Linked DNA regions of Sus scrofa. Each later gene encodes a partner of the first gene's protein in a complex. Links are inferred from orthologs where the notes say so. Each region holds a gene or a part of one and is shown on either strand. Other genes may lie near its edges. The genes, in order: MYO7B, CDHR5 and CDHR2.

Region 1 (3,586 bases):
CCCTCCACCCTATGTTCTGTGGGACCCGGGCGGCTGAGGGGACTGTGCCCACAGACAGGCAGGGCATGGGGCTGGGGCGGGCTGGCACGGAAAGGATATCGATGAAGATCTGACAGGCGACATCTCGCAGCTCAACATTGGCATGGACGCGCTTGAGCAGGGGCTGCCGCAGCGGCTCAGGTGAGTGGGCCCACAGGTGGCCCCGGGTTCGGGCCATGGGGAGCATGGCTCTGCTGAGTGTCTCCTTCTCTGGGGCCCTATCAGGGAAGGAGGCCTTCCTTATGCCTGTCCTCTCCCCATTGCCTGCCATGTGCACACAGTGGGGAGATGGCCCCGGGCTCTGGGGATGGTCTCTGTGCAGGTTCCCTCCCTGCCCCAGAAGGCCAGGTGGGCACTGCACCTGCCTTCATGGCCTCCCAGCCTCCATGGAGCACCCAGGGACTGGTTGGGGTGGGGCGTGGAGGTGGGCTGGGCGCGTACCTAAAAAACTCGTAGGAGAATTCCTCCAGGGTGTGCAGCTTCTCCTCAGGCTGCTCCTCTGGCGGTGGCTCTGCCAACCTCCCCTCCTGGGCTGCTACCTTCCGCTTCTCAGGTGACATGGCGAGCAAGCTCTGTAGGGGCAGGGGCCTGTGGGTGTCCAAGAGGCCCCGCCCACAAGGCCCCACCCATGGGCTCCACCAAACCCGGTTGCCTCAGAGACCTGGGAGGGGGCCACCCCACATGTGCTGCCTGCTGTGTGACCCAGGACCAGGCACCTCTCCTCAGGGACATCTCTTACCTGGCCCTGCCAGCCTGGCACCCCCATCTCCTTCAGGCCTGGGCACAAACGTCAATCCCCCAGGGACACCTTCCTGGACAGGGCAAGCCCACCTTCTGATTTGCTCCCATAACAACAGTGCTGTTTCTCGGTGGCACTTGGCACACTTGACATCAAGCTGTCATTTATCCAAGTGCTCTTTGAGGGCAGGGATACTGCTGTGTTCTGTCCTGTGCTGCAGGCGCAGGACACACAGCTGGCACTTGATATATGCATGTTGGAGGGCTTGCTTGTCTGTCGTGTCTCCCTGCAGGGCAGGTCTTGGGGCCTGGGCTGGGATGGTTGTCAGGGGAAGAGAGACTCGAGGCCCCTTAGATCAGTATTTAAATGATGCTGAAGCAAGGATGGGGTCATTCCCAGGGAACTCCCTGGTGAGAGGGATAAAAGGCAGGTCCATTGATGGTGTACCTATTAAGTGCCAAGTGCTGTGCCAGGCCTCATCATCTATCTGGGTCCCTCTGTTGACCCAGAGGGATGATGGGGTTGGCAGAGCTGATGTAATGCCCAGGCTCTCCGTGAGGTGGGGCCCAGGCCCCTGAGCTAGGACCCCAGGCCAGGCTTCTCAGCCACTTGCCCCGGTGCCCATGGTGCCTGGCTGAAGGCGGGTGAGCATGTGAGTTACCAGCAGCTGTGCCGAGGGCTTGGTGACTGTTGGGATGGCATAGAGGCAGGCTGTGGGCACCAGCCCCGTCTTGCCTGTCCTGTCATTCTGGGCCAGGGTCCAGTCCTCAGAAGCCAGCAGCCCCTGCTTCTTTGTCAGGATCAGTAAGTCCCCCTTCTTGAAGGGCAGGAAAGTGACGTCATCTACAAATCAGGGTCACACAGACACATACACACACAGGGGCAGAGAAGCCGCCACTTACCAAGGGCTCAGCAGAGGCCAGAGGCCAAGCTGGCATTCTGGGGGCTGTCTCTTGGGATGGGTGGGGAGACTGAGATGCAGAGCCGTGGGCCCAAGGCTACCCTGAGTGTGAGTGGGGCTGGGACTCCCCAAGCTCAGGCACTTGGGTGCCACAGGAGGGGGCTGGACAGGCACAGAGCCTGGGGTGGGCAGAGCTGGGAGACCTGCTCAGAGGCCTGACCACGACATGGCCTGTGAGGCAGGAGGCGAATGGACAGAGGGGGCATAATACCAGCTGGCAGTCACCACGCCTGCTCAGGGTTTAGGGGACCTCTCTGAGTCTGTTTCCTCCACTGCAAAATGGAGAAAACACTCCCTCCCTTCCGTGGCAGTTGTAAGGCTAGAACGGGCAACAGCGATGCCACTGTGGGGCTGACACTCTGCTCCTTACTGCAGCTGAGACCCTATGCTCAGCCCCATCCCCAAACCCCTACCTCTGGAGCCTGATTTCCAGGGGCACCCGGGAAGCCGTGGCTGAAAAATTGTCTGCCAGGGCTCGCCCCCTCCCCACCCCCAAGCTGTATCCCTTCTCTGAGCCTCTAGGCTTTGTCTGCAAACTGGGACAACAGGGTGGCTGTGGGGATGGTGTGCAAGACCCGGGCTGGTGGCCTGGGCTGTTTGCCCTCTGCAGAGGGAGGGTGCTGGCCCTTCCTTCACTTCTGGCAGTAGCACAGCCCTCTATGAACTTCACTTTGGTCACCCTGCATCCCCTCATTTTGCAGAAGTCCTGCAGCTGCCCCCCCAAGGGATTTGGGGCTCTCTCTGCTCAAGTCCATGTGCCCTGCCTACCATGTGAGCACTGGGACTCCACACAAGCAAGCGGCCCTCCCACTGGCCCATGAGCCACCCTTCACCAGGCCCCCTCCCCGCCTGGCCAGGCACCTGTGGCCTTCCTGTCCTGCAGAGCCATGGTGAAAACGGACCTCTCCTTCAAGCCCTCCAGAAACAGGGCCACCAGCTCAGCAATGGCCACGCTGCTGGGGGACTGGAACTCGTATTCCTCTTCGTGCAGTGTGGAGAGCACCAGCCTCTGCCCACCTCGGGCCTCCCTGAGGGGAAGAGGGTGCAGCATGAACAGGGTCCTCCTCCACCCTCCCCCTGCGTCAGCCCCTCGACAGCCTCAGACGGGTGACCCTCCTGAGTTACAGATGAGGAAACCCAGAGGCTTGTCCAGAGCCATGGCAGGGACAGGGGCTGAGGGAGGGTCTGCCTCAGCCCTGGGCCCTGCTCTGTGTGCAGGCAGGTGAGCCAGAGCTCAGGGTGCCACGGACTTTAAAGGCAGTGGGAGTGCCAAGCCCTGGCTTGTGGGGTCAGCTCTGGGCAGGCAATGTGGTGGCCAGTGTGCAGGGCCACCATGGGGGCACTGCCCAGAATGGTGGTGCTGAGATGGGGCACCAGCCTGGGTGAGCTTGGTGGAGCCTTTGCATGCCTCAGTGTATTCACCTGCAGACTCAGGGCAGGGGGGGAAGCTGTGGGCCTTACTGGCATAGAGGACAGTGGCCAGCATGGTCAGCCTCAGTAAGAGGTGGCTACATGTGCCCTGTACATTCTGATGTGATCACAGGGGTCGTGCCACATTGGGGTATGCTTTAACCAAGGGGGGCTCTGGCATGTCACAGGCAGGCCTTCCCAAAGGGCATGGAGAACTTCTCTGTAGATGAGAACCATGGAGGGCCCCACCCAGGGTGCAAGGCTGCACAGGGTTGCTCTGTGCCCTACACGCATAGCCCCGTCCCTTGTTCCCTCTCCAGATGGTTCCCTGTGAGCAGTTCCCGCCCATGAGAAGGGAAGGAGCCTGTACATGAACGTACATCTCCAAGGCTGCAAGTTACATGCCTCTTTCCAGGGGTGCTGGGGTCTAAAGAGAA
Region 2 (3,851 bases), on another chromosome or scaffold:
GGCTGCCCTTCGGAGGGCGACGCCAGCCCTCCTTGAGGGGAGGAGGGCTGAGGCAAGGCCAGGGCACCGGCTCCACGGCACCCTCCCTCCCTGTTCCTGCAGCCAGGCCCCCTCACCCTGCGACCGGGGCCCATCTACGCCGTGGACGGAGACCGGGGCATCGACGAGCGTATCATCTACAGCATGGTCACGGGTGAGGGCGCACCAGCTCCCGGCTTCCCTCCCCACACCGCGCCCCACTCCCACCTTGCGCTGAGGAACCCCGGGGGGGGCGGGGGGGGCTGCCACCTGGGACCACGGGACCTCAGGCCTCCGGCGGCGACCGCACCAAACCCTCCCGCCCGCCCCCCAGGACATGAGGACGGCACGTTCTCCATCGGTGCCGACTCGGGCAACCTCACCATGGCCAAGAGCATCCCCAGCCCCCAGACCTTCGTTCTGATGGTCAAGGTGGGTGCCCGCACAGGGCCAGGTCTCCAGGCCCTTCCTGGGCCCCAGGCTGCTGGGCTCACCCTCCAAGGACCCAGTGGTCACGGCCGCCTCTGCAACCCCCAGGGGGAGCAGGCGGACGGCGCTCGCTACTCGGTGACCCAGGTCACGGTGGAGGCCCTGGACGCCAACGGGAGCCTGCCCCGCTTCCCGGAGAGCCTGTACCGCGGCACCGTGGCGCTGGGCTCCGGGCCGGGCGTGGCAGTCCAGGATGCAGCCGCCCCGCCCCAGCCTCTGAGGATCCGGGCCCAGGACCCTGAGTTCCCCGTAGGCACTGCCCGGGCCTCCCTTGGGGGTGGGTTGGAGGGGCCTGAGGGAGCAGCCTGGGCCCCGGACTCACTGGACCCTGTCCAGGACCTCAACTCGGCCATCACGTACCGAATCACCAACAATTCCAACTTCCGAATGGACGGGGAGGCCGTGCTGACCAGCGCCCTGCTGATGCAGGCTGGGGTCTTCTACGCAGAGGTGAGGGCCGGGCAGCATCTCCAAGGGGCGGGGGTTAAGTCGGAGCCCAGGAGGGACGAGCCCCCTTCCCGCCCAGGTGGAGGCCACGAACACGGTGACCTCAGGCACAGCGACCACGGTCCTGGAGGTTCAAGTCTCGGAACAGGAGCCCAGCCCCACAGGTGAGCCTCCCAGGGACCCCAGGTGGGCTCGGGCAGGGCTTCTTGCCAAGGGCAGTGGCAAGCCCAAGCCTGTCCCTGGCCCCAGGCCCCTCAGGCCCCCCCACACCCCCAGAGACTGCAGGAACGACCAGACCCTCGAGCAGCACCACTGCGGAAGCTCCCCGGCCCCCTGAGCCCTCGCAGGGGTCCTCCACGACCAGCTCTGGGGGGGGCACTGGCCCACGCCCCTCCCTGGGAACAACTCTGAGGCCACCTGCCACCTCCGTGCCTGAGGGGCCCCCCAGTACGGGAACCAGCCCCCCTCCCCCATCAGCCTCACCCAGTGGGGGCTCAGCGACCAGACCCTCGAGCAGCACCACTGCGGAAGCCCCCCAGTCCCCTGAGCCCTCGCAGGGGTCCTCCACGACCAGCTCTGGGGGGGACACTGGCCCGCACCCCTCTCCAGGCACAACTCTGAGGCCACCTACCTCCTCCATGCCTGGGGGGCCCCCCGGTATGGGAACCAGCCCCTCCCCCCCATCAGCCTCACCCGGCGGGAGCTCAGCACAGACCTCAAAGCCAGGAACCTCTCTGCCGACATCCCCTGGGTCCAGCAGGAACCCCTGGTCCTCAGGTAGCACCCCACTTACCCTAGAGTCACCCTCATGCTCTCTGACTCATGACTCTGGGTGGTCACTGTAAGGCAGGGTCCACCCCAGGTCAGCCCATCATGACCGTGCTGACCACAAATCCCCAGGGGAGTCCGCTCTGGTCGCGGGGAGAGACGGGTCTCGGGGGGCCCAGGAGGGAACCTGGGGAAGGTGTGTGGAGGGTGGGGCAGAGGCTGGACTTGAGACCCAGTGAAGTCCCCAGTTCCCTGGGCCATTCACTCCACTGGCCCCATGTGGCCCTTAGCCCCCTTCCTGTGACCTTGGAGCCCCTCCCTCCCACCTGGAACCAGTGGGCACTGATCCCTCTCCCCTCCCGCCCAGCAGCCTGGCCTATCGGGGCCCCCTGGGAACACACAGCTCCTTAGTGGGGGTCAGTGGTGCCCACTCCCCAAGCTCTGGTGGTGGCCAGGCCTGGCTTGCTCTCAGGTGCCTGGCGCTTGCCACAGGTTGGCATGAGCGTGTGACAGTAAGCGGGTGGTGGTATTGCCGGCAGGGACGCCGGTGAACGAAGAAAGCAGCACTGCAGCGAAGCCAATCTCAAACGGGGACAGGCGCTTCTCGACTGTGGAGATGGCGGTGCTAGGCGGGGTGCTGGGCGCGCTGCTCCTTCTGGCTCTGATCGCCCTCACGGTCCTTGTCCACAAGCACTATGGCCACCGACTCAAGTGCTGCTCCGGCAAAGCTCTGGTGAGGCCCTGGGGGTGGGGACAGGACAGGGCTAGAGAGAGCAGAGGGCCGTGGAGGGCATGGGGGACCGAGAGGGAGGCAGCGCGACCAGGGGTCGGTGGAGCAGATGGAAACCGGGTGAAGGTGATGGGGCGCAGACACCATGGCCCAAACAGTGGGGGGGGAGCAGAGAGAGGCAGAGAGCGGAGGGAGGGACGAGGGACCGCCTCGGGGGACGGCCGGGCTGGTCTGAGCCCGCTGGGCTCTGGCTGATGGCTGCCTCCCACCCGCCCCTGCCCCCAGGAGCCCCAGCCCCAAGGCTTTGACAACAAGGCTTTCCTCACCAAAGATGAGGCCAACTGGGAGCCCGCCCCTAGTCCCCCACCCAGCCCTGCCCCGCCAGCACCCCCAAAGCCCGCACCCCCAGATGCTGAGCCCCAAGAGCCTTCGCCCCACAGCCCCGCGCCCTCTCACCGTGTCCCTGAGTCCCCTGCGGTAGCCCCGGATGGGGGCAGCCCGGCAGCCGTGAGGTCCATCCTGACCAAGGAGCGGCGGCCTGAGGGCGGCTACAAGGCTGTGTGGTTCGGGGAGGACATTGGGGCTGAGGCCGACGTGGTGGTCCTCAACACGCCAGGCTCGGAGGTGGATGGCGCCGGCGACTCGGGCAGCGAGGGCGGTGGCGACGAGGGTGCAGACGCGGGCCCGGGCGGCCGTGGCCAGGACGCCCCGGGCACTGACTCCATCTACTTCTAGCGCTGCTTCCCCGCGGCCCCAGCGAGTCCGGACGCCGACAATCGGCTCGGCCCCTCTCCCCAACTCCATTGCCCAGAATAAAGTGACATTGTGGGATCTGCGGGCCTACGTGGGGTCTGCCCAGGGGGCTGCGGGTGGCGGGTGGTGGGGACGTGGCCCCTCTGCCCCTGCCCCGCGGGAGTCCTCCTGGTGGCCCGAGGGGCAGAGAGGGTTGGGCAGGCTCACGCCCTGTGCAGAACCCTGGGCACCATTTCCCGTAAACCACCTGCTGTGCTCGTGGGGCTTCCCAGGCTTGGTGCCAGCTGGTGGCCAGAAAGTTCCTCTCCTGGTCTAACCACGGCCCTGGGGGGGGGGGGGGCGTGCGCTGGGATCTCCCTCCCAACCGACCCAGCATGGAGATTCTTGGCCTGGGGGAGGCTGAGGAGCCAGGAGCTGTTCCCAGGAGCACTCATCTAGGGGAGCACGGTCCTGGGGACCTTCCAGGGGTCACACCTCGGGCTCCTGTGGCCACAGTGTGGGCAATAAACACCCTGGGGTGCCCTCAGGGACACCTGGTCCAGGTGGCTGGACTGCAACCAGAGATAGGGCCATGGGTGGCCCAGAGCGACAGTAGCCTGCAGGCCATCGGCCTGGGGTGACAGGAGTGGCCAGTGGGTGCAGGAGA
Region 3 (4,198 bases), on another chromosome or scaffold:
CTCTCTGAACCCTATGATCCCTCTTTGTAGCGTGGGCATGATCACAACGGTACCTGCCTTTCCTGGGTGATGTCAGGCATTAGAGAGACCACAGCTAAAAGCAAACAGTAGGTGCTCAATAAATGCTGGTTCCTTGGGAGCTCCTGTTGTGGCTCAATGGGTTAAAAACCTGACTAGTATCCATGAGGATGTGTTTTTTGTTTGTTTGTTTTTTGTCTTTTTTGCCATTTCTTGGGCCGCTCCTGTGGCATATGGAGGTTCCCAGGCTAGGGGTCGAATCAGAGCTGTAGCCGCCGGCCTACGCCAGAGCCACAGCAACGTAGGATCCGAGCCGCGTCTGCAACCTACGCCACAGCTCACGGCAACGCTGGAACCCTGACCCACTGAGCAAGGGCAGGGATCAAACCCGCAACCTCATGGTTCCTAGTCAGATTCGTTAACCACTGCGCCACGACGGGAACTCCCGAGGATGTGTTTTTGATCCCTGGCCTCCCTCGGTGGGTTAAGGATCTGGCGTTGCCGTGAGCTGCAGTGTAGGTCACAGATATGGCTCAGATCTGGTGTTGCTGTGGCTGTGGTGGAGGCCGGCAGCCACAGCTCCAATTTGATTGACCCCTAGCCCAAGTACTTCCATACGGCATGAGTGGGGCCCTAAAAAGCTAAAAAAAAAAAAAAAAAAAAAAAAAAAGCTGATTCCACTCCTCTCAGGAGGTACAAGGACATCCTCCCCCAGGATTTCCCTGGACCTGCCAGTGCATCTGCATCTCGTGATCTCTTTTTGCTGCTCCAGGCCTCACCCAGTGTCCATCTTGGGCTGGGTGTCTCCCTGTCTACCCTAGTGGGTCCCTGGTTAGGGAGGACCCAGCGCCCCATGGTCCAGATGCAGGCAGCATGGCCAACCTGGAGGTGGATGAGCCCGGGGGAGGGTAGAGACCCTCTGAGGGCTTTACTCCTCTGTGAAGACCTCATGTTTGAGGGTTACCCTATTTTTCTAGTTCCCTCCCTCACCTGTTTCCTTTTGTACCTGCCTCACAGGTCCTCTTCCATTGAGGAATCTTATAGCAGGGAGAGGATGGAGGGCCCAGATGTTGCCCTCCTGGCCTCCTGCCCGCCGCAGGGCTGGGCCTGATTCCCACGTCCCCAGGGCCCAGCTTGGCCAGGCCCTGATGCCTGTGGTCTAGGTCTCCAGACCTGGAAGCCTGGGGCTGTGGCGTTGGTCTGGCCCTCCTACCTGCTCCCCAGCTGTGGCCAGGGCCTCCTGAGGAGTTGTTCCCATCCTGGGAGGTGTGGTCTCTGTCACGGTTAATGATTGCTCAGGGGAGGCGGAGATGGTGCCAAAGTCTGCTGGCCGCACCACCGCCAGCCCAGACAGTGCCCACCTGTGCTGGCGGCGCCCATCCTCTGCCTCCGGGACCCCTTCTGGGGCGCAGGTAGGGATGGCACAGTTCTTCTGCAGCAGGGGCGGGGGTCTCTTGGCCAGGAATCGGGACCCAGTGGGGTCACTGGGGCCAAGGCGAGCTTTAGCAGGCGGAAGGGAGGGCCGTCCCTCGCCAGTTGGGTGGAAGCGCTGGATGGAGGGAGCGAGCACTGGGGCTGGGCTGGGAGGACCTGGAGTGAGTCCCAGACTGGCCTAAAGGCCTCAGTTTCCTCTGTGGTGTGAGGCTAATGATACCCATTCCCAAGTTTCCCAAGGCTTCTCTTCTAAGGCTTTGGGCAGTTTGGACCCACCACGAATTCTTCCCGGAATAGCAGGGAGGCAGGTCCCCTGGAGAAATGAGCTTACCTGCCTTGGCTCCTTTCACAGGAAGCCTGAGGGGGTGACGACAGGTTGGCTGAGCCTGGGGGCCCCAGAGCTCAAGGAGAAAGGACTGTGCTCCAGTTCCAACTGCTTGAGTTCAGACCCCAGCTCTATCCTGGCTTTGGGTGGGCTCCATCACTCTTTCAGGCCTCAGTTTCCTCATCTGGAGAATGGGGATGATTGACAGGACAGGAAAGACGCTGGAGCGCCCTGAAGCAGTTGGGCCTGTGGTCAGCGATGGAGTCCAGTGCCTCCTCGGGCAGCACTAGGAAATTTCCAGCTGGGACTCACCCCAGGCTAGCCCCCAGCTCTGGCACATTCTCCGGCTCCGACATGTCTCTGCCTTGGGGTACCAAGTGGAAAATCGGCTGAGAGCTGGGCCAGGCCTGGGCCTCTTCCTGAGGCAGATACTGCTGGGTTGGGGCACTAGATACAAAACAGAGGCCCAGGGAACACTGATAGAAACAGGTCATGACCAGTGTGTGACTCTTATCTGCACCCTGTTTCCCAGCCGGGAAACTGAGGCCCAGAGAAGGTAAGGGCTTGCCTGGGTGGCACAGCAAGTAAGTAAAATGCTGCAATTTGAACCCAGGACCATTTGATTCAGGATCTGCCTGCCAGGGAAGCAGCCTGGGGCTGGGGCTGGAGGGGCCCCTAGGCCCTGGTGGAGTCAAGTAGAACCCAGACCAGGGCTTGCCCAGGGGCTCTGGGCTTGGGAGCCAGTCTGGGTCTAACGCTCTGCCCTTTTCTCTGGGGCATCCCTTTCTGAGCCTCGGTTTCCTCACCTGGACTCTAGAATGATCATTCCTACAGCTGGGAAACAACTGTGAGAAGTAAACAAGAAAGCGGAAGTGAGAGTCTGGCCATTTGGAGATGGTGGTGATAGCTGGTGGCTGAGCCTGCCCGTGGGGTTCCTGTGGGTGAGGAGGGCTGCCTGGGCTGGCTTGAGGTCCCCATTCCTGGTCCCTCCATTCCCGGTCCCTCCAAATTCTAGAAAGTTTTGGAGCTGTGGGCTGTGGCTGCTGTAGGGGGTGAGGTACACCTCTTCCCAACTGTCAAGACTCCCAAGGGCCTGCGTGTCCCATGGGGTGGGGGCTGGAGCCCCTCTAATCTAATTCATCTCAGCATCCTTTTTGACCCTTCCCCAAGCACTTTTTGAGGGTAGGGAAAGGGAGGGAGCTTGGAAAGGGGGATTGGGGGAAAAGAAACTAATTTCTAGAATGTAGATAGATTGTCCCATTTTTCAGAAGGCAAACTGAGAGGCAGCGAGGAAGAAGGAAGAGCTGCAGGATTCAGCCATGTGGTGACTGGGGGATGCTGGAGAAGGCCATGTCTCCTTCACTCCCAGGCCTCCCCAGTCCAGCCCATGGGAACTCCAGGTTCACTTCCTGTTCACTGGTGCTTGCCCTGTCCCCTGCCCCTGCTGGGGTGCCGGGAGCTTAGGAGCTGGAGGAGGGGCCACCAACATGTGAACTTGGCTCCACACCTGACCTGGCCTTGGAGGGTAGAGAGAATTTGCATGTATACAGGAGACTGGGGAAGGTGCTCTGGACAGAGGGGCGGGCATATGCAAATGTATGGAGGCAGGAAAACAGGGTGTGCCCTGAGGCCATGGGGGGAAGAAAGGCTTGGGTGGGAAGAGACCCAGCACCTGGGAGGCCCTGGCTGGCCAGGTGGAGAGATGGAATGTATGTTCCACAGCCAGCGGAAGCCATGGCAGAGGTTTGAGCCAGGGAGTGGCTGAGCCTGGTGACGTGGGAGGGCTCCCTGGTGGGGCAGGTTCAGCCTGTGCCTTCGCCACCTCACATGGGCTCTGTGCGTTTTTCTCAGATGACGGAAGCCAGAGGATGACACTCTGGACTGTAGAACTTTGGCCTTATTATGATCAAATGAGTGTGTGTTTATAAAAGTCTCCATGACAAGGAGGCAAGATTGCATGAAACCCAGGCCGAGGGAAGAGTTCTTTACAGGGAGGTGGACGGGTGGCGTCCCGGCTCTGCCCCGTCTGGTGTGGGCTGTTGGGCAAGGCCCTGAGCATCCCTGGGACTCAAGTCTAAAGGGATTGACAGCTCTCTCTTCCTTCCCTGGGGGATGGTGAGGGCCCGAGGCAGGAGACAGACTGTTTGTGCCTTGTACAAAACATAAAAGTCATCATGCTGGAGATCCCACTGTGGCTCAGCAGCTTATGAAATCGAATAGTATCTGTAAGATGCGGGTTTGATCCCTGGCTCTGCTCAGTGGGTTAAGGCTCCAGTGTTACCATGAACTGTGGTGTAGGTTGCAGCCACGGGTCAGACCTGGCATTGCTGTGGCCATGGTGTAGGCCAGCAGCTGTAGCTCCTATTCAACCCCTAGCCTGGGAACTTCTGTATGCTGCAGGTGCAGCCCTGTAAAAATGAA

The links.
Region 2: MYO7B (region 1) and CDHR5 share a complex: the UniProt entries of both Homo sapiens proteins name them as parts of the IMAC/intermicrovillar adhesion complex. The link is inferred for Sus scrofa from reciprocal best matches to the Homo sapiens genes MYO7B and CDHR5.
Region 3: MYO7B (region 1) and CDHR2 share a complex: the UniProt entries of both Homo sapiens proteins name them as parts of the IMAC/intermicrovillar adhesion complex. The link is inferred for Sus scrofa from reciprocal best matches to the Homo sapiens genes MYO7B and CDHR2.

The regions. Positions count from the first base shown.
Region 1 is NC_010457.5:59,715,990-59,719,575, forward strand, and holds part of MYO7B (unconventional myosin-VIIb), read right to left. Parts: intron 2,768-3,586; coding exon 2,601-2,767; intron 1,622-2,600; coding exon 1,440-1,621; intron 612-1,439; coding exon 481-611; intron 258-480; coding exon 100-257; intron 1-99. UniProt on the Homo sapiens protein: Myosins are actin-based motor molecules with ATPase activity. Their highly divergent tails are presumed to bind to membranous compartments, which would be moved relative to actin filaments.
Region 2 is NC_010444.4:375,881-379,731, reverse strand, and holds the end of CDHR5 (cadherin-related family member 5), read left to right. Parts: intron 1-102; coding exon 103-193; intron 194-352; coding exon 353-450; intron 451-555; coding exon 556-756; intron 757-843; coding exon 844-957; intron 958-1,033; coding exon 1,034-1,118; intron 1,119-1,203; coding exon 1,204-1,731; intron 1,732-2,261; coding exon 2,262-2,455; intron 2,456-2,737; coding exon 2,738-3,187; 3' UTR 3,188-3,283; downstream 3,284-3,851. UniProt on the Homo sapiens protein: Intermicrovillar adhesion molecule that forms, via its extracellular domain, calcium-dependent heterophilic complexes with CDHR2 on adjacent microvilli. Thereby, controls the packing of microvilli at the apical membrane of epithelial cells.
Region 3 is NC_010444.4:81,358,723-81,362,920, reverse strand, and holds the start of CDHR2 (cadherin-related family member 2), read left to right. Parts: upstream 1-1,322; 5' UTR 1,323-1,328; coding exon 1,329-1,430; intron 1,431-4,198. UniProt on the Homo sapiens protein: Intermicrovillar adhesion molecule that forms, via its extracellular domain, calcium-dependent heterophilic complexes with CDHR5 on adjacent microvilli. Thereby, controls the packing of microvilli at the apical membrane of epithelial cells.